Linked DNA regions of Diceros bicornis minor. The protein of the gene in region 1 purifies or fractionates together with the protein of each later gene. This does not show direct contact. Links are inferred from orthologs where the notes say so. Each region holds a gene or a part of one and is shown on either strand. Other genes may lie near its edges. The genes, in order: LYAR, GNL2 and GTPBP4.

Region 1 (7,591 bases):
ACTGTGGAGGTCTATTCTGTTTCTGGATCCAGGGGGCGGGCGGAGGGGAGGAAGGTTTCGGCAAGCTTGAGATCCAGTGGGGAGACTCAGTCTGTCATGAAAGGTCAGGAATTAAAGGCCTGAGAAGGACAGCTGAAAACAAAATTTATCAGCAGAAAGAAGCCAGTGATGTTGACAAAAAAGATGCTCGGAGTATCTGTGCAAAACGTGTCATCCCTCTGGGGATTAACCACACACAGTGTAAACATCACCTCAAGAGAGGATTAGAATGTGGTCACATGTCCATTGGAGAAATACCTCTCCAACCATTTTCATTTGGTCTTTTGTGGCGAATGTTCACATTTAGAAATTTGTTAAGTTTTTTTAAAGGCAGAATGGGTGGCTTGCACAGTAAATCAGAACTCAGTCTCTTGGTGCCTTCCTCTGGACTTTCAGAGCCATCGCTGCATTTTTACACTTGATCTGAAACGGGGACAGTGTGACCGCCTGCTTGCTAGTGAGATACGGTCTGTAAGGAGCTTATCCCTCCTTATTCAGAGCCCAGAGGACATGCCACCACCAGCCAAGAGTCACCTTGATTACACTTCACACCTGACCTCCCCCGAGGAAACACCTTTCATGTAAGCAGGAAACACCGCCGTGTGTGTCTACGGGGGTGGGCCGTGAACCGCAAGCTCAGGATCCTCCTAAGTGCATGGCAGACGGGGTGTCCCCAGCGTCAGTGCAGGCTTAACAACGTCAGAAGCGTAATGCTACAAACTTACAAACAGATCCCACCTGAAAATTCAGTCCCTCCAACTGATGATAGCAAGCATTGCCTACAACAGAAGATTAAACTTATTCAGATTTCACAAGACTAAATAAATATCAAAGAAATTTAAATAAACTTTCAAACGATGTTTTTAGTAAATCTGTAACATTTATACTTCGGAAGTTAGAAAAGCTGAAAACATGCTGCAGTAAGACTTTTAGGACACCTTGTCTCCCAGGCTCAGATGTCGTGCATTTCATGACCTTCCATTTGAAATACTAGGACCCTAAGTCTTCATCCTAAGGCCGGCCTGTACCGGGCAAGGAGACCACCGTGTCTCAGCAGAGGATGTCTGGTGTTGCACAGTGATGCCGAGCTGAGGGCAGCAGATAGCATCAGTAAGGGACTGGGAACCTGTGAAGGAATCCAGGCTCCTCAGTCTCCTCTTAGCAAGATGGTGGCCAGGTTCTGTTGAACTGGGCCTGGACACAGGGCCAGAGGATCTGAGGTGGAGCCCATATCTGTCAATTCAAAACTAAATGACCTCGAGGTACCTTAACTTTCCAGCATCTGTTTTATCTGTAAATTGGGTCTAACATCTATCTTGGAGCATTGAGTGGAAAGTTAAAAAAGATACCAGATGTGCAAGATTCATCCTTACTCAATAGTAGAAAGAATTTCCAGTGACCTATTAATTACACATCAATACGATTGCACCCAGTCGCTTCCCAAACTCATGCTTCTTTAAATATGACCCTCAATCCACTGTCTAGCTTCATAAATTCACTCCAGTCTCCTCTGGATCTCCAGCCCACGGGAGCCTACGCCACCGCCCTGTTCCCTGATCACATCAACTCAGGTTTGCTTCTGGGATTATATCTGGAGTTATTTTTTTACCTTCCTCCCTATACATTTTGGTGTTTATTTTTTTACAAAAACTACGTTAACTATTCTTAAAATATTCTCTCTCACACATACACAGACCTAAACCCCATCACCGCTCACCTGAGGGGCCAAGCTGGCAACAGCCCCCAGTGAGCACTGTTACCCTGAGCAAGTTACTGTCCCCTCTGAACTTGAAGTTTTCCCATCTGTGAAACAATGGGTCGGGCCAACTGGACCAGCCCTGAGCCCCTTCCAGGGGGTAAAATTCCAAGAAACCAAGGGTATGGTGAAAGGGAAGGACACACAAGTACACACTATCCCCCATCCTGCCTAACCACCTGAATGTGGGGGCCATGACAGTCGCGATATGCATTCACCCTGGACCTCTCCCCTGCTCCCTGCAGAAGCCCTAGGAGACAGGCACACCTATCTCCACTTGACAGAGGAGCAAACAGGCTGGGAGAAGTTAAGCCACGTCTCTACCCCTCCACCTCACCCACAGACTCCATCACCAGCCTTGTTTTATCAGCATCCCTTTGCTGGTGGAAAAACCATCTGTAGAAGTCTACCACCTGTCAGCACCACGCTGAGCGCTGGAGACGGGGGGTGCAGTGTGACTAAGTGCCAGGTGGGCCCTCTCTGCAGGAAGTCAGCCTTGCAAATACGCTCCCCCTTGCTCCCCTCCCTGTCTCCTCAGAGGCAGATGCTGCAGAAAATCCCGACATTTATTGAGCACCTACCACGTGCCAAGCCGCGTCGTAGGTGGTAAGACGTTTGTGCTCACCTAATCCTCCCAACAGTCCTCTGAGTTGGGTTCTATCTTATTCCCCTTTGACAGACGAGGAAACTGAGGCACGAAGAGCTTAAGTAACTTGCAGCAGGTCACACATCCAGGTAGTGGCAAACCCGGATGCACACGCAGTCATTCTGGTCCTAAGTCCGTGCTCTCAACCCCTATGCTCTAAGGCCTCCTCTTTGGGGACCGAGCTCCCCAAGACTCGGGGAAGACAAGAGCCTTGTCCCCAGCATACAGCAAGCCTGAAGCCCAGGCCGGCCGCGACCAACCACCCTGGTTTGCCCAGGACAGGGGGGTTCCCGGCACGAGGGCCTTTCCGTTTAAGATCGGGAGGAACTGGCCACCCCGAATCCAGGCCTCTTTCCACCCCAGGGCACGCATAAGATCTGAGCGGATTTCCTCCTGCCCTGCGTGCGAGCCGAAGCAGGGGCTCTAACGATGGAAATGCGGCAGCGGCCTCCCTCCCGCCCGGCCTCCCGAGTCGGATCTCTGGGCCACCCCCTCACCTCTCGGCCACAGCCCGCCAACGGTTTCAACCGGCCGCGGGGAGCACGTGGAATCGCCGCCTCCCGCCCCACGCGGCCACCACCTCCCTCCCGAGCTTCCCGGCGCCGAATTCGCTTTGGAGCCTCCCCGCGCGCCTGCGCGCCGCGGCCACACCCCACCCCCCAGGAGGAAGTGACGCCGCCGGAAGCCGGAGGGCGGGCCCGGCCGGCCGTGGGGGCGTTGCCGGGATGGTTCCGCGGCCGGCGGAGGCCGGCGAGCGGCGCTGAGGGAGGGGACGGCAGGTGAAGAGGTCGCGGCGGGGCGAGGAGCGGCCTCCGAGGGTGAGGGGGCCGCCGGGCCGGGGGGCCGGTCTCGCGAGGCCGGGCGGGTGCGGCGCGGTGGGAGCGGCCCGGAGTCCCGGCCGAGCGCCGGGGCCGGCAGGGCAGGGCCGCCGAGGGCCGGCGGGGAGCGGTGGGGTCGGCGTGAGGTGACCGGCGAGGGCGCCGGGCGCGGCTCAGACACCGGGTGCGGTCCCGGTCCCCGTCCGGGCGCGGGGCCTGCCCCTCGAGCGGCTCCCGCGGCCTGGACGCCCCCCGGCGCAGCTGGCCGGCTGCTCGGCGCCCCGACCGCCCGGGTGCTGTTCCCCGCCGCCGCCGCGGCCGCGCCGCGCCCGGGTGCCTCGGCCGCCCCGGCACCGTCCCCTCACGCCGGCCCCCGCGCGTCCTGAGGCGGGGGCAGCGGGGGACATGACGCGCGCGCGCCCGGGGACGGGGAGGCGGTCCCCGGGCACGGGCGGCGTTGGGCCTGCGGCGGGGTGTCTGGGTCCCGCAGGCCGGGGCTGACGACGCTCACCATCCCCACCCACGCTCTGGCCGGGCTCGGGGCGCTCCCCGGGCCGGCCGTGTCCTCGCCGCCCGGCTTCCCCTGTGCGGGACGCCGCTGGGGTCCCTGTGTGTCCCTCCTGCCCTCACAAGGACGCAGCCAGGTGGGGCCAGCGACCTCCTGTTAGCTCATCTCCTCTTGCGAGGCCCCTCTCCGGATGCAGCCGCACGCCCGGGGGCTGGGCCTGAGCACTTCGCGTGTGAATTTGGGGGACAGTCCAGCCCATGGCAGAAGAAGTCAGCGCAGTGGACAGGGAGGGACGTGTTTTCCGAGAGGGGACAGCACGGCCACCGGGTCGGAACGCAGGGCGCTCGCGATGCGGTTCGTGGGCCGGGCGCCGCGCCCGGTTCCTGCCGGCGCTTCCGCGTCGGTGCCGTTTGATCCCCTGCAGACGCGCGGCGAGCTCCCGTCCTCGTCCTCGTCCTCGGCGGACTTCACGTTCGGGTCTCAGCGCAGGTGTCCTCCTCCGGGAAGTTGTCCCTCTCCCTCCTCCCCAGATGAGTTGCTGCTCCCCGTTCAGCGTACCCTGGGCCGGGGCTGTCCTTGCTCCCCCTGCGACACTGACGCCCCGTGAAGGCGTGGATGGCCGGATCGAGCCGTTCACCGTCGCGTCCTCGGTGAACATGACACAGTGGGCGCTCTGTGAAGTCGCTGAGTGACGGGGAGACCGAGACCAGCCGCTGGAGGGCGGGGAACGGGTGTGGTTCAATTCTTCAGCATGCCGTCCTCACCGGATGTCTCCGCAGATTAGGACACGGTGTCAGCTTAACTGAACTGGCCTGCCTGGGTGGGAGATCATTATAGAGGAAGACAAGGATCCAGGCTTGTCTGCTGGAAGCCACTGCTTTTGTCGTTGGGGTTGGGGTGGGGTGGGAATAAGCCATCTGAAAAACATGGTGGCCAAAGAGGAAGGGAGGACCACTCTCAGGCAGGCTTGGTGCTGAGGGGTGTGAACTGCGGACCCTTGGAGAACTAATCTGTTGATGGCCTGCTGAACAAACTTCCCCAGATTCTGTCCTGTGGTGTTTGACCGGTTGAGGAATTGCCCTGCAGAACAGAAGGGCCATTGCTCTAGGAGCCCTCTCTGTAGGTTAAAATTCCGTTCTGACTCTTGTTCCCTTTAGAAGCACCTGTCATTCACATCTGTCTAAGTTTGTTCTTGTTCTCTTTTCCTATATTTCCACTCTTTTTGATGCCAGTCAGTCTGTCTTTCCACCATCACATTCCTGGTATAGGTTTGTAGCACTTAGAACAGGAAGATACCTTAGAGAGTATCTAACCCAGTGGGGGACGTTTCCATTTTTATAGATGAGAAAACTGAGCCCCAGGGTCTCCATCCATCCAAAAACTGTTTGTTGAGGACCTGCTGTGTGCAGGGCACTCTTCTAGGTACCAGAGATAAGCTGACCAGTAACACAGATGTAGAACATGTCTTGCCACCGAAGATTTTTGCTCCTTGTCACAAAGTGAGTTAGCTGCAAAGTTGGAAGAGAGCCCTGTGCTCCTTGTATCACACCAGACCACCTGTGTGCCGTGCATTAGTCCTCAGTGTGCTGTGCCGTAAGGTGCTTATCTGTGGGGTTACCTGAACAATCAGGCATAGGCAATAGACTGAAGAAGCAACTGATTTGATCCAAGGAAAGCCTTTGATCTGTCACATGTAACTTGAAGTAGTGGGTAAGCTGTGGGCTTTGGAGTCAGATTTCCTGGGTTTAAATCCCAACTCGGGCTGGCCTGGTGGTGTATTGGTTAAGTTCAGTGTGCTCCACTTCAGCGGCCGAGGTTCAAGGGTTTGGATCCCGGGCGCAGACCTATACCACTAATCAAGCCATGCTGTGGCAGCAACCCACATGCGAAGTGGGGGATTGGCACAGATGTTAGCTCAGGGCCATTATTCCTCAAGCAAAAACAGGAAGGTTGGCAACAGATCTTAGCTCAGGGCCAATCTTCCTCACCAAAAAAAAAACAAAACAAAACTCTGCCCCTTATTGATTATCCCTTACTTATTAGCTGTGTGACCATCCTCTCTGTACCTGATCAGGTTATCTATTGCTATGCAACAAACTACCCCAAAACAGTGACTTAAAAACTATTTTATTTTATCTCACATTTTTGTGGGTCAGGAATTCAGGCAGGGCTCTGCTGGGCAGTTCTTCAGCTCCACATGGTGTTGACTGGACGTGGTATTCAGCTTGAGGGGGGCTGGGCTGGAGAGTTCACTGGGGCTTTGCTTCTATATCTGGTACCTGGGAAGGGGTGGCTGGAAGGCTGGGGTCAGCTGAGTCTTTCTCCTGCTCCCTGTGGCTCTCCATTTGGGCATCTTACAGTCTGACTGCTGACTCAGGCCTTCCAGGGCCAGTGTTCTGAAAGGTGGAAGGTGGAAGCTGTCAGCTCTTAGGTCCTGGGCCCAGAGATGAGCACAGCTTCACACCTTTGCTTTTGCCTGTTCTACTGATTAAGGCAGAAGCTGCTCAGGTTCAAGGGGAAGAAACCTAAATCCTGCCCTTAGGAGGAGTGTTAAAAAAGTTGCTCTCATCTTTAATCTGCCAAGTGCCTCCATGTCCTCATCTATAAAATGAGGATAGTAGTAGTAGTACCTATCTTACAGTTATCCTGAGAATTAAATGAGTTAATATGTATAAAGAACTTAGAATAGTGGCTAGCATATAGGAAACATTTTATAAATATGTGTTATTAGGTGCAGGATACATTATTATTTATAGTTGTTATTCATAGGACACATAAGAAATATAAGATGCTGATTCTTTTTCTGGAGCTTTTTATAATCTTATTGAGGAAGTACAGGATTGAAGTCATGAAGCAATTAGAGAATTACATTAAATAATATAGAATAGTTAAAATTTTTATGGTCAAAGTAAATTGTGGAATGGTTCATAACTTTGCATATCATCATAACTCTAAGAGTCATTCCAAAGAATTTTTCCTCTTTATCACTTGTATATAGCTAGAAAATATCTAATGTAGATTCAGAATATTTGCTGCATTTTAACACTTAAGTCTATGGAGGAAGGTTCTGTGTTGTGTTTTTTAATGTCCTTTTCTCATGGAAGATAGCATAGACTCCAGGGTTTAGGAACCAGGATTTAAATCTTGGCTTTGGAACAAAACAGTTTTACAGTCTTGGGCAAGTTACCTAAAATCCCCATTTCTTAATTTCCTCACTTGTAAAATGGTCGTAATAGGGTTCTTGTAGCATTATTTGAGTTAATGGGTATAATGTGCTTAACACAGTGCCCAGCCTGTAGTAAGCAGTCAGTAAATGATAGCTAATAATAATAAACCAGGAAGCCTTTTCTTTTCAGGCAACCAATGGGGCAGGGGTAGGTAACTGATTACTCAATCGTTTGGTTGTTCAGTACCTTTGAGGACTCAACACTGGGGACAGTGCTCCACCGCCTGACATAATGCTTCCGTTTCTGTGTTCTTGGGTTGGTTAATATTATCCACTCCCAGTGTTTCAGTGTTGCTCTGTAAAGATGACATCATCTCTGGTCTCCATTTTCTCTGAATACCACTCTGATTTCAAAGCAGGAGGTCATGCCAATGCTCCAAACTCAACATACCAAAAACTAAGCTTTCCGTAAAGAAATAGGGGAACCATAAGTATACAGCTGGGAGTGAGATGATGGGGGAGGAGTGTTGGAGATGCTAAGTTGAGGGGTCTTACAGTTGGAGATGTTTAGCAGAAAGTTGAACATTTGGAACTGGTGGTCAAAGCTAAAGTTTCAAATTGAGGAGTTGTCTGCTTAGAACAGATGAAGGCCAAGAAT
Region 2 (8,078 bases), on another chromosome or scaffold:
CCATTTAATGTTTGGCTCCACTCTCGCCACTGTGCCAGAAGCCACTGTTGATTGATATTGCAGAGGCTTAATCACTTTACCACGACTGTTCCTAAATGGAGGAAATGACAGATTTTGGTTGACGACAGAAGAAAGGCAACAACAGCAAAGTCTGGTTTACAGAATACCCTTTCCATCAAAAGGATTTTTTTTTCCTTTTTTTGGTTTTAAAGGATCATGAAATACAGATTTCAGTAAACAAAAAGTACTTCTACATTTGAAACAGATTGCCCAAAAGCCATTTAACCTCTTGCAACAGAGCACGTAACGATTTCTGCTGGATGAATAACAAATAAAGCTGATGTTTAAAAATCTGTTTACTGTTTGTTAGCTTTAAAAAAAAATCACATACGTGAGTTTTTTGGGTAATTATTTGAAGGCTGGTTTAAATGAATTTTAAGTAGAGGGTGATTTGTGCTGGAACTCAAAATTCTGAAACAAACTGCAGAGCAGGTGACTAAGGCAGATTAAGTTCATTGACATTTGTGTTTTAGACACATCTTTTAGAACGGATGGAGAATCTAATTACCAAACAAATTAAGACCAGCTAGAAAAATGCCACACTCAGCAAGTCCCCGTGGTAGAGGCTGCCTCAGCAGAACGCAGATTGGTGGTGAGTTTCCAAGTGCCACAATGTTGTGATCTAAAGTCTGGCATTAAAAAACAAGTTCTCTCGCTGCTTTCATGACTACAGTCCTATATGCTTCACTAAAGAAAACCAGATTTCCATCTGACGGATACCTAACTTGAGATTTAATATGCCATTCGTGGAGGCTGAGGCTGTAAGGAACAAGACCTCTAATTGCTGTATTGTGACACAATCACAATTTCTCCACCCACTACTCATGTCTTTAACCAAGAATTCACAATTTATCATAATAACACCCATATAAAATGATACTTGAAAATACACTACTCGTATTTGGGGAAAGTGGGAGTGGGAATATCATAGGTTTAATAGGCCTCAGCTATTCAGTCAAGGGCTTGAAGCAGAGGGGGGAGGATGCCAGCACCCAGTACTCACCTGCGCTCCTTCTGCCTGTACATATTCAGGCGCCGGATGGTGGCCCGGTCCCTCATGTTTTGGCCTCCTGCTCCCTGTACTCGATCTAGGGAACCCAGAAGTAGATTGCACACCATTTGATAACCAACAAGTCTAAGTACGGTCGTTGCTTCAAACACACCAACTAGTTCACTCAAAGTAAGCAAGCCGCCACCTCACTGCAAAATCTCTACTTCCTCCATATGTTGCTCCAAAAAAATTATTACTGGAAGCTACATGGTATGACAAAGCTGATCTAACCTTTGATCCTCAATAAGACTGTGTTTGATAATGATAAGAGCTAATATTTTTGAGCACTAACTACAGCACTGTGCTATCCACATTATAGGTCTCATCCCATGTAATCCATACAATAATCCTATAAAGAGGGATACATTATCCCCATTCTGCAGGCTAAGAAACTGAGGCATAGTGGCCAGACATCTTGCCCAAAGTCACAAATGGCAAGCCAGAATGTGAACAACAGCATTTGATCACCACCTGTGCTCTGAACCACAAAGACATCCACCTCTGGATCTCACTTTAACAAATTTTGAGTGCCTGCTACATGCAAGGCACCCTGGAGACTACAATCTTGATACCTAAGTGTTTCTAATGTACTAGTTTCTTAATTTCCGAATGTTTGATTTTAGTTTAATCAACAGCAAAATAGGTAGTAATTCTTGTCTTACATCTCAGAGAGAAAGAGAAGGACAAGTGTCGTAAAACCAGCCTCATGTGGGGATCCCTTCAAACCACCTGTCTACTCTTACAGTGATGTCATAGAAAAGAGGCTGCGATCACCGGACTGATGGCTCTATTACTGACTAACCATGCCAACTGTGACAAGCCACTTCCCCTATTTTGGCTTAGTCTCTTCACCTTTGACATCAAGATCTCTAAGGACCTTTTCGGGTCTAACATTCTAAGATTCCAGTCTACACAAATTGAGTAATTTATCAGCAATCCAGGGAAAACACTCAACATGAATTAAAGCCATAAAAAATTGAAACCATATTTAAAAACAAAATTTTATTAACTAAACCCAAATGGAAGGGACTCCCCCAAAGGCCACCTTGTTCAACCTGTAGGTGGAACCTCAACAAAACTCATAAACATCTCCAAAAACATCTTCAGTGAAATGATCTTATTTATTTATCTGTAGGGTTTTCCACACACTTGACCCGATGGGATGACTCCAAGAGCCAAATTAACAATCCCTTTCTCACTTAAATTGTCAAAGCTAAGGTGGCAGCAAGTGTGGTCAAGTGTAAAAAGCCAGCTGCGTCGGCCTACACCACTTTTAATCCAACTTGATCTAATTCACTTCTAGCAAGCCTTGAGCTGGAGAGCTGGAATCATACGAGACTGACATATATTGGGGGAGGGGCTTCAACACGACCCACACAGGAACAAAAGAAGAGGTCAAGTTTAACTGCCCCTTCCAACTCAGAGCTTCCCAGTCTCTGCATCTCACAAGTGGAGACGCCCCAAGGCTGCCAGGCCTGAGCGTTCCCTCTCTCCGACTTCAGACTCGGTGCCTGGCACCCAGCCCTGACAGGCGTGCAAGATGTCGGCCCTCCTCAGTGCCTCCGAATGAAGAAACCATCTTCTCCCTTCCCATCCCCAACAGCCACTCTGCTTGAGGTCACTCCAAGCCATGCCACCCGGGTGTCCCTCCTCCCCCTCGGTCTCCTCGGAGCCCTCCCCGCAAGCTTCCTCCAAGCTCCACCCTCCGCGAGCCCCGCCGCCTGTACCGGGGTTTGTGCTGGCCTTCGACGGGTTGATGGTGCTCCGTCCTTTGTACTTGGGCTTCACCATCTTGCCGCCGCGACGGGGACCCGAGTGCTAGGTCCGACCTACGTACGGTAAAAAAGGTAAAAAAACCTCGTAACGCCCCAGGCCCAGCCACAGCGACCGGCGTGAAGCACGCTGGACCACGTGTGCAAGTGCTACGTCACTTCCGCTCGCGCCCCCTCCTGCCCCCGCGCGACTTCCTGCGAACGCGCGCCGCGCGCCGCCGCACTCCTGGCTCCGCCCCCGCCCCGGCCGCTTAGACGTCGCCCTGCGTCGAGCCCCCGCCCTCCTCTCTCCCTAGCAACCGCCACGCTGCCCCTCCATAGCAACCGCCTAGTCACCCTGGACGCTCGGCACAGAGCTCCTACTTCGGTCCGCCCCAAACACAGAAACCTCTTCCCAGGCCAATGGCACAAGCTTAAGTTTAATTATCTAATGAATTTATCCTCTAAGTCTTTCCAAAAGTGGCTGACCACACAGCAGCCAAATCAATCAGATCTTGGCACCCTTATTAAAACTCCAATAATTTATCATCACTCAGAGTAAAAGAGAGACAGAGACAGAGAGAAAGAAACTCAAACTCCTTGCCATCCCTACAGAATTCTGCATGATCTGGCCCGTGCTATTTATCTGACTTCATTTGTACCTCCCTCCCTCTGGTTATTCCGAGATTTACACTGGATGTTCCCTCTGCCTGAATCACTCTTTCCCTGATTCTTGGCATAGCTACTTCCTTCTGGTGGTTCAGTTCTCAGTTCAGATGTCACCTACTGGTAGGGTTGCAAGATTTAGCAAAAATACAGGACTCCCAGGTAAATTTGAATTTCAGATAAACAATGAAATTTTTTTGAGTATAAGTATGTCCCAAATGTTGCTTGGGACATAGTTATACTAAAAATTATTCATTGTTTATCTGAAATTGAAATTTAACTGGGCATCCTATATTTTATCTGGCAACTCTGCCTACTGGGAGAAGTCTTTCTTGTCTAATCTGTCTAAATCAGCCATCTCCCATCCTTCTGCAGTTATGCTGTTACATTATTCTGTTTTATTTACTTCATGGCATTTATCACTAGCTGAAATTTGTTATTTACGAGTTCATCAGCTGCTTCCCCAAAACTGGAATATAAGCTTTTTGAGAGCAGGGACCTTGTAAGTTTGTTCACTGCTGTATCTTCAAGACTTAGAACAGCACTTGACACATAGATAGTAAGGACTCAATAAATATTCATTGAATGAATGATGAATAGATGGTGTCTCAGCTCTGCCTGCTATAACAAAATACCGTAGACTGGGTGGCTTAAATAACAAAGATTTATTTCTCACAGTTCTGGAGGCTGGGAAGTCCGAGGTCAGGGTGCCCACACAGTTGGGTTCCTCGTGAGAACTCTCTTCTTGCCTTGCAGACAGCCGTCTTCTCACTGTGTCCTCATATGTCAGAGAGAGGAAGGAGGACTCTGGTCTCTTCCTCTTCTTATAAAGTCACTAATCCCATGCTGGGGGCCCCACCCTCATGACCTCATGTAAACCTCATTACCTCTCAAAGGCCCCATCTCCAAATATTATCACATTGGGAGTAAAGCTTCAACATATGAATTTTAGGGGAACACAAACATGTAATCAATAGCAGATGGGAATGCTTCTTGCCTTGAGGGGGAAACAAGGGTGTAAGACCCAGAAATTTCTGTTTCTGTTAGTCAAAATAAACTCTCTAGATGCCAGTGTTTCAACCAAGAAGCCCTCTCTGTTTTTTTGGCACCTCAAGTTGTCAGGAAATGCCCATCACTGTGCCTAAGTCCAGAGAAGAGGTGGTTAGGCAGGAAGAAGGTGGATTCCAGCCTGTGGTGTAGCCCATTCCGTAAAAACAAACAACTTAGTATAAAGTGAGGAACTCTAATTGTGGGGGGATGACTGAGTCTTTATTTTTCTGAGTCTGAAACAAACAAACCGAAAAACATTCTTTCTAGAGCAAAAGCAGGCCATGTCCTAGACAACAGGGGGAAATACCTTCTCTCCCTTGAGATTGACTTTTATTGCCCCAAGGGCAAGTATCGTGAAATTTAACACGATTTTGCTAGAAAGGCTCTGAACCTAACACGGTGTCTGAGGGAGTCTCTGAAAGCTGGTCAGAAACAACTTCATGCCCACTGAGGATCCAAAGATGCCCCCTTCTGCCTCACACTGTCCCTTTGGTCCCCCAAAGGAGGATGCAATGGCCCACTCCCGGAGAAAAAACTAAGATAATGTGTTTCTGATGCCTCAGTTTGGTTCAAACCAGAATAAACACGAATGGCAAAAATCAGCCCATGAGCTCATTCAGGCTTTGATCAGAGACATAATTTCATTATGAAATTTTGAATCAGGCTGTTGTGAAGTCTTGCCAAGGAGTTTCATTTTCCCAGATGATATGGTGCGTTGTTTCTCTCCTGTTCTCATACTCAGCTTGCGTTTATCATATGAACTTTCCGTCTATTTTTATAATCTGAGCCATCAATCCCATCAATCCTTTTACAACAGTATGGCTGATCCCGACAACCAACCTCAGTTCTACCAGCTGATAATAAGCCTGATCAAGGTAGGTCAAACTCAAGTTACTGATTTGGTTTGCTTGCCCTGCTGACCATAATTGTAATAGGTTTTTTTTAAAATTTTTTTTAAAATTTATCTATTTCCCCCAAAGCCCCAGTAGATAGTTGTGTGTCACAGCTGCACATCCTTCCAGTTGCTGCATGTGGGACGTGGCCTCAGCATGGCCGGAGAAGCGGTGCATGTGTGCGCGCCCGGGATCCAAACCCGGGCCACCAGCAGCGGAGCGCGCGCACTTAACCACTAAGCCACGGGGCCAGCCCTGTAATAGATTTTTCACTCTCCTTCCTGATGTGGTGACCAGAGGAAGCAAGACACACCTCCAGGCCTATGATTCCTCAGCTTTAGAAGAGATATATTAATTTAACTACGCTGAAAGATTGCAGCGTGATCATATGAATTATGCTGTAAGAAAGCATAGCAGAAATGGTACACCCCATGTAGATGGGATGCTTTCTGTTTTCCTCCAGACTTATGGTTAGCTCCTCATTCCCTGGAACCTTGCTCCTCGTAACCACAGGTTTGTGTGAATGGGAAGACCCCAACAGGAATTGGCTCGAAATGCCACGTTTCTTTCTTTCTTTTTTTTGAGGAAGATTGGCCCTACGCTAACATCTGTTGCCAATCTTTCTCTTTTTCTTTTTTCTGCCCAAAGCCCCAGTACATAGTTGTGTATCATAGTTGAAGAGTTGTAGCTCTTCTATGTGGGACGCCGCCTCAGCATGGCTTGAGGAGCGGTGAGTAGGTCTGCGCACAGGATCCGAACTGGCAAACCCCAGGCCGCCGAAGCAGAACGTGTGAACTTAACCGCTATGCCACCGGGTCGGCTTCAAAATGCCACCTTTCTGAAACAGCCTTGTGCCAAGTTCTAAAAGGAAAGAATGGACTGGTGTTTTCACAGGGAGAAGAGAATCTTGACTTCGCTTCATTCTGTAAAAACTTCTTCATTGGGATCTAATGGGCAAGTAGAAGCAGCTTCTAAAGTAGCAGTTTTCAAAGTGTGCTCTGAGGACCCCCAGCATCAGAATCAGTTGGGGGAATTGGTTAAAAATGCAGGCTCTTGGGCTTCACCCCAGAGTTACCTAAATCAGACCTTCCGGAGGTGGGGCCCAAAGAATATACATTCTAACCGGCTCCTCAAGTGATTCTTGTATACACAAAAGTTTGAGATCTTCTGAAAAGCAAAGTCTTTCCCAAAAGTCATCCTCAGGCTTTCTGACCAGCTGACCAGAAGGCAGCCCTAATAAGACCTAGCTCCTTCTCCACCTGTCTTAAATCCTCTCTTTTTTCTCAGCAGAGCCAGGGTGAGGAAGGCTGCAGCAGCGTCTTATGCACTCTGAAAATATATGTCTTGGCTCTACCCCAAATGCCTTGATATTTATGCTGCAGCCGGAGGGTCGTTATCCTTTGGCAACACTCCATTGTAAGGCCATTAGCTCTTAATTAGTGCCAGCTTGTTGATTTATCCTTCCCTGTTGAACTGAGAGAGCAGAGGCTTCTCTATTCAGTCTCCTGTGTCTATCCTCTGGCAAATTCACAATGCATTGACCCCTGCCTGCTGGGGCCAAGAGTTGGGCCCCTGGAGTGGCTGTTGCTCAATGTGAAACAGTTACTAGCCCCCAAGCAGAGGCTCTGGGATCCTAGGAGAACAGAGAAGTACTCAGAATATGTTTTCAGGGTTTTGTTTTTTAATTTTGTTTGTAGAAAACAAAAAGAGAGAGTCCTTGGTCATACAACCTCAAAAGTTTACAGGGGAATATAAGAAAATAAGATGTATTAAATTGGAGCTTCATTGGCCAAATTGCCCTCAGTCTAGTTTTCAGTCTAGGATGCCTGGGAATTTTTTGGACAAGGATATAGCAAGATAGTAGGCTGGGTAGCTATGAAAAGTGGCTAAGAGACTCACATCTGGGAACCCCAAGAAACTTCTTCATGGATAATGTATCTGGTCACCACTTCTAAGTGGGAAAAACATAGTCTGTATTGGTCTTGGCATTCATCTCATTGCTGGGTAAGGAGCTCTTCAAAAAGATCCCTAGATTAAGCTTTGGAAAAATAACTAGCAGCATTTTGCTCCTTCCTATTACTGAATCCCTGTGGTCCTCAGCAAATTCTGCTTAAGAAAATCTGAGAAGCAATTTTATGAGATGCTGTTAACGGCCTCTAATTTTCAGCCTGGTTTAGATAACTCAAGATTGCTGGCTGCATCCTGAGAAATGGATCCAGAACACACACCGATGTGGGAATTTGAAGTGTAACTCCAAATCGTAGATAATTGTTTAAGCTCCAAGAAGGCTGGAGGGCCCATATTAAGTCATCTCCCCAGGATCAGTGTGTTTCCTATTACACTTGATATCTATCTGTCCAATGATCCTTTTGATTTTTAAGCCCTTAGACTAAATCTTTGTGTAATTCTTTACCCCTCATCTCCTGCCCACCTCCCCCATTTTCCTCAGGAAAACACTTTTTAAAAATGTTAACTAGGTCCATTGGATTGCTTCCAGAAGAATAATGTCACGTTAAAAAATCTAAACCGAGTCAACTCCTGAAACCCATGTGTCAGGGGGACCTCTGTCTGTTGGAAGGTCAGTCTTGCCCTAGGGGCAGCTTCTGC
Region 3 (7,374 bases), on another chromosome or scaffold:
AGGGCCTGAGGCATCTGCCCTGGCTGTCATTAAGCTAGAGGTCCAGTGCAGCTTTCTTCCCTGTGGTACAGCAGGAGTTGTGAAATGAGTGGGACTACCTGAGTAGGACAGAAGCCCGATTTCAAATGTCACAGCCCTGACTGCACCAGGAATTTACTTAGGCCAGCGTTCAATCAGTCGAGTTCCACAATCATCCCTGAATGCTCAGGGCCATGCTGCTTGCTGTGAGGAATGGGAAAAGGACGAGACACAGTCCCTGCCCTTGAAGAGGCTGTTTCTCTGGGAAATGGGACGGACCCAGGGGAACATCTAGGAAACAGCCCAAAGCAGCCAGTCATTCCTGCTAAATGAGTTGACCAGAACACAGCTTCGGTGGGCACCCAAGGAAGTGACCGACAGATGCACTGGAGTGGTCCTAACACCTTCGAATACCAGACAGCTACCTGTGGCTAAGTGACTAATCCCCACACAAAGGCTCCTTCTAGGCAAGAAGTTGGTCACATTTCCCTGGCACAGATTCTGCTGCATGATGTACTTTTCATTAATCAGAATTATAGCAACAGGAGAGTAAAACAGAGACCAATTCCACAACATAAAGAGGTCTGAAGAATAAGCCTTTTGGCTGTGAAGTGCTCTGACAGTCAGAAGTCACCAGAGAGCACTGCAGCACACCCTCGAGAATGTCCTGCACCATAGCCGAGGCTCACCTTCCTGTCACAAGGCTCACACTCTGACGAGTCCTGGTACCTGGACACCTGACAACATGGTCAAAATCAGCTCAAGAACCGGTGACTTGCCTTCTGCTGCAGGGGCTTTTCCAACTCTCCTCAAAAAGGGCCCCCAACAGCCTGGTTCCTCCAGAGTCCAGCAGCACATTCACAAACGAGTGGCTTCCTCTTGGTGGTCTGGGACACACACCTGCCCCCAGAAAGCTGCACTCAGCCAGGGAGCGCAAGTGGAAGAGGGAAGAATGTTGCTTCTCATCAACACGCAGGTGGCGGGGGATGCTTGGTACCTCATCATGAGTGTATAGCTCTGGGCTCGCGATGAGTCATGATGCTTATGCATTCACAGACATGCCTCGTGGCTGAGCAACTGAAAGCAGATAGCTCCCTGGAGTGGTCTTGTTTTCCCAGACCCCTTTTCCAATTTCACACCCTTAGATACACAATGAGGAGGGTGTTATATATCTCTTCTTTTCATGGGCTGATTCTTGTCGCTTGAAAAGCTAACAGATAAGTCAGGTTCTGCACAACCATGCTCTCTAAGGGATGATTTTACTGCCACACTTGGGAACTGAGAATTCCTGATAAGAAATTTGGCATTTAATACACTTTATGGCAATGCTCAGATCATTACCGTGTACTGACGCGATAACGTTTTCAAATAAAATTTTATTATTGATAGTCATTACATTAATACCTCTTACTGTATGCCTTATGCTTTTGCATAATTAGCCACCATAAACGATCCTCTGAAGGTAGGCATTATTTCCCCCATTTTGTACAGGAGCAAGCAGGGCTAGGGGGTGAGTCACTTGCTGCAGCTCACGTGCCGTGCCTTGTGAGGTGCAGAGCTGGAATGTGAACCCCGGCCTTTGACTCTTCACCAGGGCAAGCATTTATTAAGTGTTTTATGCAAATATGATTTCAAATTCTTGGGAGAATAGTAAAAATACCAAAGACGTGTCAGTTTTTCATTGATAGGATTTATAAAATCCTCTCACATTTATTCTCTAATATACTTTCTCTTTGTCAAGGGTTCTCTTTTTGGTTTTTTTAAATGAACGATTTCTCTTCTGCTCTGTATGAACAAGTAGATTTCAACTGTTCTGCATAAAATCAAGAAAATAGCATATGTTGATATTTTATGTTATTAGCATTTAAAAAAAATTCTGTCCCCTCCACAAACTATTTATATAAATAATTGTATTTATGGGATGGCTGAAAAGACCTGGTCCTCAGCTTGGTCTACTCCCATTTGCCATGTAGCGCTGTGTGACCTTGGAGAGAAGCAAGCCTCTAATCTTAGTTTAGCATCACATCAGAAAGTTGTTGGGAGGCCTGGCCCGGTGGTGCAGCGGTTAAGTTCGCACGTTCCACTTCAGCAGCCCGGGGTTCACTGGTTCGGATCCTGGGTGCAGACCTACTCACTGCTCATCGAGCCATGCTAAGGCAGCGTCCCACACAGAAGAACTAGAAAGACCTACAATTAGGATATACACCTATGTACTGTGGGCTTTGGGGAGAAAAAAGAAAAAAAAAGAGGAAGATTGGCAACAGATGTTAACTCAGGGCCAATCTTCCTCAAAAAAAAAGAAAGTTATTGGGAATATTATTGAGATACTAAAAAGTAAAGCACTTTGTAAATGTTAAAGTCCTATACAAATGTAAGAAATCGTTCAATTATTGCCTAGAGCTAAGAGCTAGAGAAAGAATAGTTGCCTGCCTGAAGCCAAGGATTGACTGGACTCATCTAAATACTGGATTGAAAGAAAAAGGAGGAGGACCTGGCCATATAAGAGGGAGGGGTGTGGGTGGGGTTGAAGGAGTGCACAGGTAGCTGAGGAAGAGTGATGACCATGAGCATAGCTTTGCAAATCTCCAGAACCGTGCACAGAGCTGTCCTGTGGTTTGGCAAACGATTGTAGCCAAGGAATGCTAATGATCCCAGAGGCTTCCTTTAGGAATGCTACATAGACATAGGAGGGATGCTTATTAACTTGCTGATGACACAAAAATGGGCAGTATAGTTAATCATAGATGAGAGAATCATGATTCAAGATTATTTTTGATATTGGAATGTTGGGAATTTGAGACATTTTCATGTAAGAATGATAGGACTTGTTAAAAGGAGTTGAGGGTGCATGCAAGATCACTGAGAAGCAGAAATAGCTAACAGTTAAGAGCAGAGACGCTGGGCAGGCCACCTAGGCTCAAACTCCAACTCGGCCACCTATTAGCTGTGTGACCATGGGCTGGTTACCAGCCCTGCTGTGCCTAGGCTTCCCCACCACTTCCTAGGGTCGTTGTAGGAATTAAATGAGTTAGTATTTGGTCAACTGCTTTGACCAGTGCTTGACTCTGCGCAGCAGGTCAGCCCTGCTCGTGGCTCCCTGCTGTTCTGGAGTCTCAGTGGCGGCCAGGGCCGCTGCCCTCTCCCACAGCACTCACACAGTGAGGAGGGTTTTTGCTTTTCAGAAATGCTGCATCTGACACATCTGACATCATGCTGGTGGGTATTTCAGAACTGACTGGAAATGTCAGGCTGGAATGGAGAGAGAAGTCAAGCTGGAAATGTGTATTTCATCAGAGTCATCCATGCAAGGCAACCAGCGAAGCTACCACAAAGAGAGAAGGACCCCGGAAAGGCTGAGCAAAATCTCCATAGAAAGTCTGGAGAGGTGGAGGGCACAGAGGAGGAGTAGCTCCAGTCAGGACGAGACAGTAGGAAGGTGAGTGAGCCAAGAACAGGGGATCCGACATATTAAGACCAGAGCCAGAACACCACCTCACGGGAGGGTTTGAAGGCGATGGGAACAAGGGAGAGCGACGACTGCGAAAACGCCAGAAGGTGTAAGGACTCGGTCCCAGGAAGGCTGACGGTTCAGACTGGGCGGGGAGCGGACGCCCCGATGTAGGGATCCGAAGACACAGCGCGGTGACTTTCGGGCGGCACTGGACAGGCCAGCGGGCTCTGCAGGGCCTGGCCTCACCCTGCGGCCGTCAAGCCTTGCCGGGCCGGTGGAGACGCAGTCCGGGGTCGGGGTCAGGGCCGGGCCGGTGGAGACGCAGTCCGGGGTCGGGGTCAGGGCCGGGCCGGTGGAGACGCAGTCCGGGGTCGGAGTCGGGGTCGGGGCCCGGCCGGTGGAGACGTGTCCCGCCGCGCTCCGCACTTGACCAAACTTGACCGCGTTAGCAGGTCAAGAGGCGGCGCGCGCGCTCCCGCACTTCCGCCCTTGCTTTACCCCGGGGCCGCGCGCGCCCCCGCCGGCCACGGCTCCCGGGCCCCTAAGACTCTGCGGGCCCCGAGACTGGAGGTCCCCGAGCTCCCCGAGCTTCCGTAACCCGCCGGGCCGGGCAGGGCGGGCAGCACAGGCCCCCAGGACGGCCCGCCGGGACCCCACCTATACCCGCACGGAGTGCCCGTCCGCGCCGCCCCTCCGCGTCCTCCCCACGCCCCGCGGGCCCCCAACCCACCCCGCCCAGACACCGCCCCGGGGGACCTCCGGGCCGGGCGGGGGCGCCGTGCGACGCGGAAGCCGTGCGCGGCGGCGCCGGGGCCGCCCGGAAGTGACGCGTATCCGGCGGAAGTCCGCCCGCCTGCTCCGCCGCTCCTCGTGTCTGACCGCCGGCATGGCGCACTACAACTTCAAAAAGATCACCGTGGTGCCGTCCGCCAAGGTAGGGGCTGAGGCGCCTTCCGCCCGAACCACCCTCGGCCGGTCGCGGGAGGGCCGGGCCTGTGATGCTGGGCTGGGAGAGGGGTCGCCGCCTCGCCAGCCCCGCCTCCCGGGCCGCGTCCCCCGGGGTTAGGGGTCCCCCCGGAGAGTGGGGGCTCCTTCCTCAGAGGCTAGGGCCCCCGGGATTAGAGTTCTTCCTCAGGTTTAGGTTCTTTCTCAGAGGATTGGGGCGTCCCCGTAGGAGAGGGGGTCCTTCTTCAGAAGTTGGCGCCCCCGTGGATGAGGGGTCTTTCCTCAGAGGTTAGGGTCCTTCCTCAGTGGTTAGGGTCCTTTCTCAGAGGTTAGGGTCCTTCCTCAGAGGTTAGGGTCCTTCCTCAGTGGTTAGGGTCCTTCCTCAGTGGTTAGGGTCCTTTCTCAGAGGTTAGGGTCCTTCCTCAGTGGTTAGGGTCCTTCCTCAGAGGTTAGGGTCCTTCCTCAGAGGTTAGGGTCCTTCCTCAGAGGTTAGGGTCCCCCGGGATGAGGGGTCCTTCCTCAGAGGTTAGGGTCCTTCTTCAGAGGTTAGGGCTCTGGGGGGTTAGGGGTCCTTCCTCCCGGGTTCGGTCACTCCTGAGGGAAGAGGGCGAGTCAGGGGAAGCTTGATGAAGTGGGTGACTTTTGAACTGAAGCCTTGAGGGTCCGTGGAGTCTGCCAGCTGGAGAGGGTGTGGAGATCTCGGGGCGTGATGTCTGTGCCCCTCCTAGTGCTGACAGTGTTGTAGGCGCTGTCTGCCAGTTTCTCTTGGCGCTGGGGAATTCACACAGAGATCCTGTACATCCTCAGACAGTCAGCTTACATATCTTAGAAGATTATAAGCAGTGGGTTTTAATTTTACCAATTATTTTGTATGCTTTGAAAGTCAAGGATATGCATATCAAAATTGTAGGATTGTTTCTTTTTTAATATTTCTTCTGATTTATGCTTGAGTTATCTGACTACTTAAGTTTCAAAGGTTCTTAGGTATTTAGAAAATAAGATAACATGAAGAACATATGGGATAAAATTTATTTCAGCAGCTATTTGCTAAATGTTTTTTAAAGTCCAGACAGTGTAAAAGATGAACAAAGTTGTATATAGAAGACTAAAGATTTAGTTAACAAAAGTGTTTGTAGTTTAAAATGTGTAGTAGTGTTAGATATTAGTCTTTTAAGATTTCAAGTAAGTGCATGGAAAGTAGATGTGTTTGATGTAACTGTGTCTTATTTTATTTGATCGCAGGACTTTATTGACCTGACATTGTCGAAGACTCAACGAAAGACTCCAACAGTTATTCATAAACATTACCAAATTCATCGCATTAGACATTTTTACATGAGAAAAGTCAAGTTTACTCAACAGAATTACCATGACAGACTCTCACAGATTCTAACGGATTTCCCCAAATTGGATGTAAGTGACTCCAAGGGATACAAATAGTTATGTAAATGTGAGCCTTCAGAAAATCGATGTTTAACCAGTTTGGTCTACTTATCTGACAGATAATGAAGGAAACAGAAAATAATTGACTTGTCAGAGTTTACTCAGTGAGTTAGTGGCAAAGCTGGGAACAGAACACGGGTTTTTTGATTCCTTAGTATTCTTCCTTTCCCCCAACTAAACCCCATCTAAGAGGGCCCAAAGCTATCTCCTCAAGCTTTCTTTGCAACCTCTAGGCTTGCGGGGCCAACCCAAGCTCTTTAGCTGAGGACTGTGAATCCAGGAGCCTGGGGTTCTGGTGGCTCACCAGCTCGTCTGGGCTTCCTCTCCTCCCTCTTTTCCAAGGCTCCTTTTCTTGTGGGCTCACATTGGATCAGTGGCCTGAGGTCCATACTGTTTGTGATCTTGTTGCTTTATCAGCCGTCGACAGTCAGTTCAGTACCAACCACTTTCTTCACTGCCAAGAAGAAATCAAGTGGGGAGCTGTGACTTATACATCAAGCTGAACAAGTTGAATTCCTCACTCTGCTGCATAGTGCAGTTTGCCCATTTATTGAGCTATGGAGGGCAGGAGCAGACACTGCTTATGAAGTCCCTGTGAGGGGTCACACAGTTGCAAGGTTCTTTGAGGTGGTGAAGGACATGGGGTCAGCAGTACAGTGTGAGAGCCTAAATTTGCCACTGCCCGGAAATAGTCCCTGAAGGTGGGTTAAGGCAGAGAGAAAAAGTTGGTTTATGTGACAAGAATTTCTTTTATATTTAAAAAGGTAATAATGGCTATTTAAAAAAATACAATAATAAGTCAGTTCTGCTAGCAGACAGGCACTTATCTTATGTATTTCTCTAGGACTTGACACAAGTGCTTGATAGCTGCTTATTGGATGAGTGAATAATTTTTTGGGAAAGGGCTAGTACCATAGAAAGTACCTGGGAATGAAAAAAGACGGAAGAATGAGGCTATTCTAAACTGATTTGGTATTAGGAAGCACCTGATTTGAGCAAACAGAAAATATCGTGACCTAATTAGTACCATATTTTTGTGGTTCTTTGTAAGAAATTTTACATTTTTCATTCTTGGTGTTTTTTTTTTTTATGTTAGAGGTTCAACTTTATAAACATTCTGTTTATTTATTTATTTTCAATTAGAGTTAGTTATATGAGGATCACTTTAGGGTAGAAGGTTAGGGTAAGTTACCATTCATTGAATGATTGTTGTGTCTCAGATACTGTTTTAGGCACTAGGAATACAGCAGTAATAAAAAAAAAAAAGGTTTCTATCCTTGTCTAGTAAACATGACATTATATAGTGTGTCAGATAAGAAAGGAGAATAGGGAGTGCCTGAGCAGGGCGATTGTAGCAGAGACCTGAAGGAACTGAGGTGGTGAGCCATGCAGTTATCTGGGGAAAGAGCACTGTAGGCACGAAAATAGCAAGTGCAGAGGCACTAAAGTCTAGAGTGTGAGGTCTCTGAGGAGCAGGCAGACCCAGGAGGGCTGAGCAGCGTGTGTGAGAGGGAGGG

Evidence for each region.
Region 2: the proteins of LYAR (region 1) and GNL2 purify together in Homo sapiens (affinity purification with mass spectrometry; 3 studies listed by BioGRID and IntAct, with this or other methods). This does not show direct contact. The link is inferred for Diceros bicornis minor from reciprocal best matches to the Homo sapiens genes LYAR and GNL2.
Region 3: the proteins of LYAR (region 1) and GTPBP4 purify together in Homo sapiens (co-immunoprecipitation; 3 studies listed by BioGRID and IntAct, with this or other methods). This does not show direct contact. The link is inferred for Diceros bicornis minor from reciprocal best matches to the Homo sapiens genes LYAR and GTPBP4.

Annotation. Positions count from the first base shown.
Region 1 is NC_080747.1:7,201,052-7,208,642, reverse strand, and holds the start of LYAR (cell growth-regulating nucleolar protein), read right to left. Parts: upstream 3,046-7,591; 5' UTR 2,939-3,045; intron 2,891-2,938; exon of another isoform or gene 2,421-2,890; intron 2,399-2,420; exon of another isoform or gene 2,377-2,398; intron 1-2,376. UniProt on the Homo sapiens protein: Plays a role in the maintenance of the appropriate processing of 47S/45S pre-rRNA to 32S/30S pre-rRNAs and their subsequent processing to produce 18S and 28S rRNAs. Also acts at the level of transcription regulation.
Region 2 is NC_080752.1:51,627,544-51,635,621, forward strand, and holds the start of GNL2 (nucleolar GTP-binding protein 2), read right to left. Parts: upstream 3,018-8,078; 5' UTR 2,903-3,017; coding exon 2,839-2,902; intron 1,149-2,838; coding exon 1,064-1,148; intron 92-1,063; coding exon 1-91. UniProt on the Homo sapiens protein: GTPase that associates with pre-60S ribosomal subunits in the nucleolus and is required for their nuclear export and maturation.
Region 3 is NC_080775.1:998,981-1,006,354, forward strand, and holds the start of GTPBP4 (GTP-binding protein 4), read left to right. Parts: upstream 1-4,301; 5' UTR 4,302-4,355; coding exon 4,356-4,403; intron 4,404-5,656; coding exon 5,657-5,827; intron 5,828-7,374. UniProt on the Homo sapiens protein: Involved in the biogenesis of the 60S ribosomal subunit. Acts as a TP53 repressor, preventing TP53 stabilization and cell cycle arrest.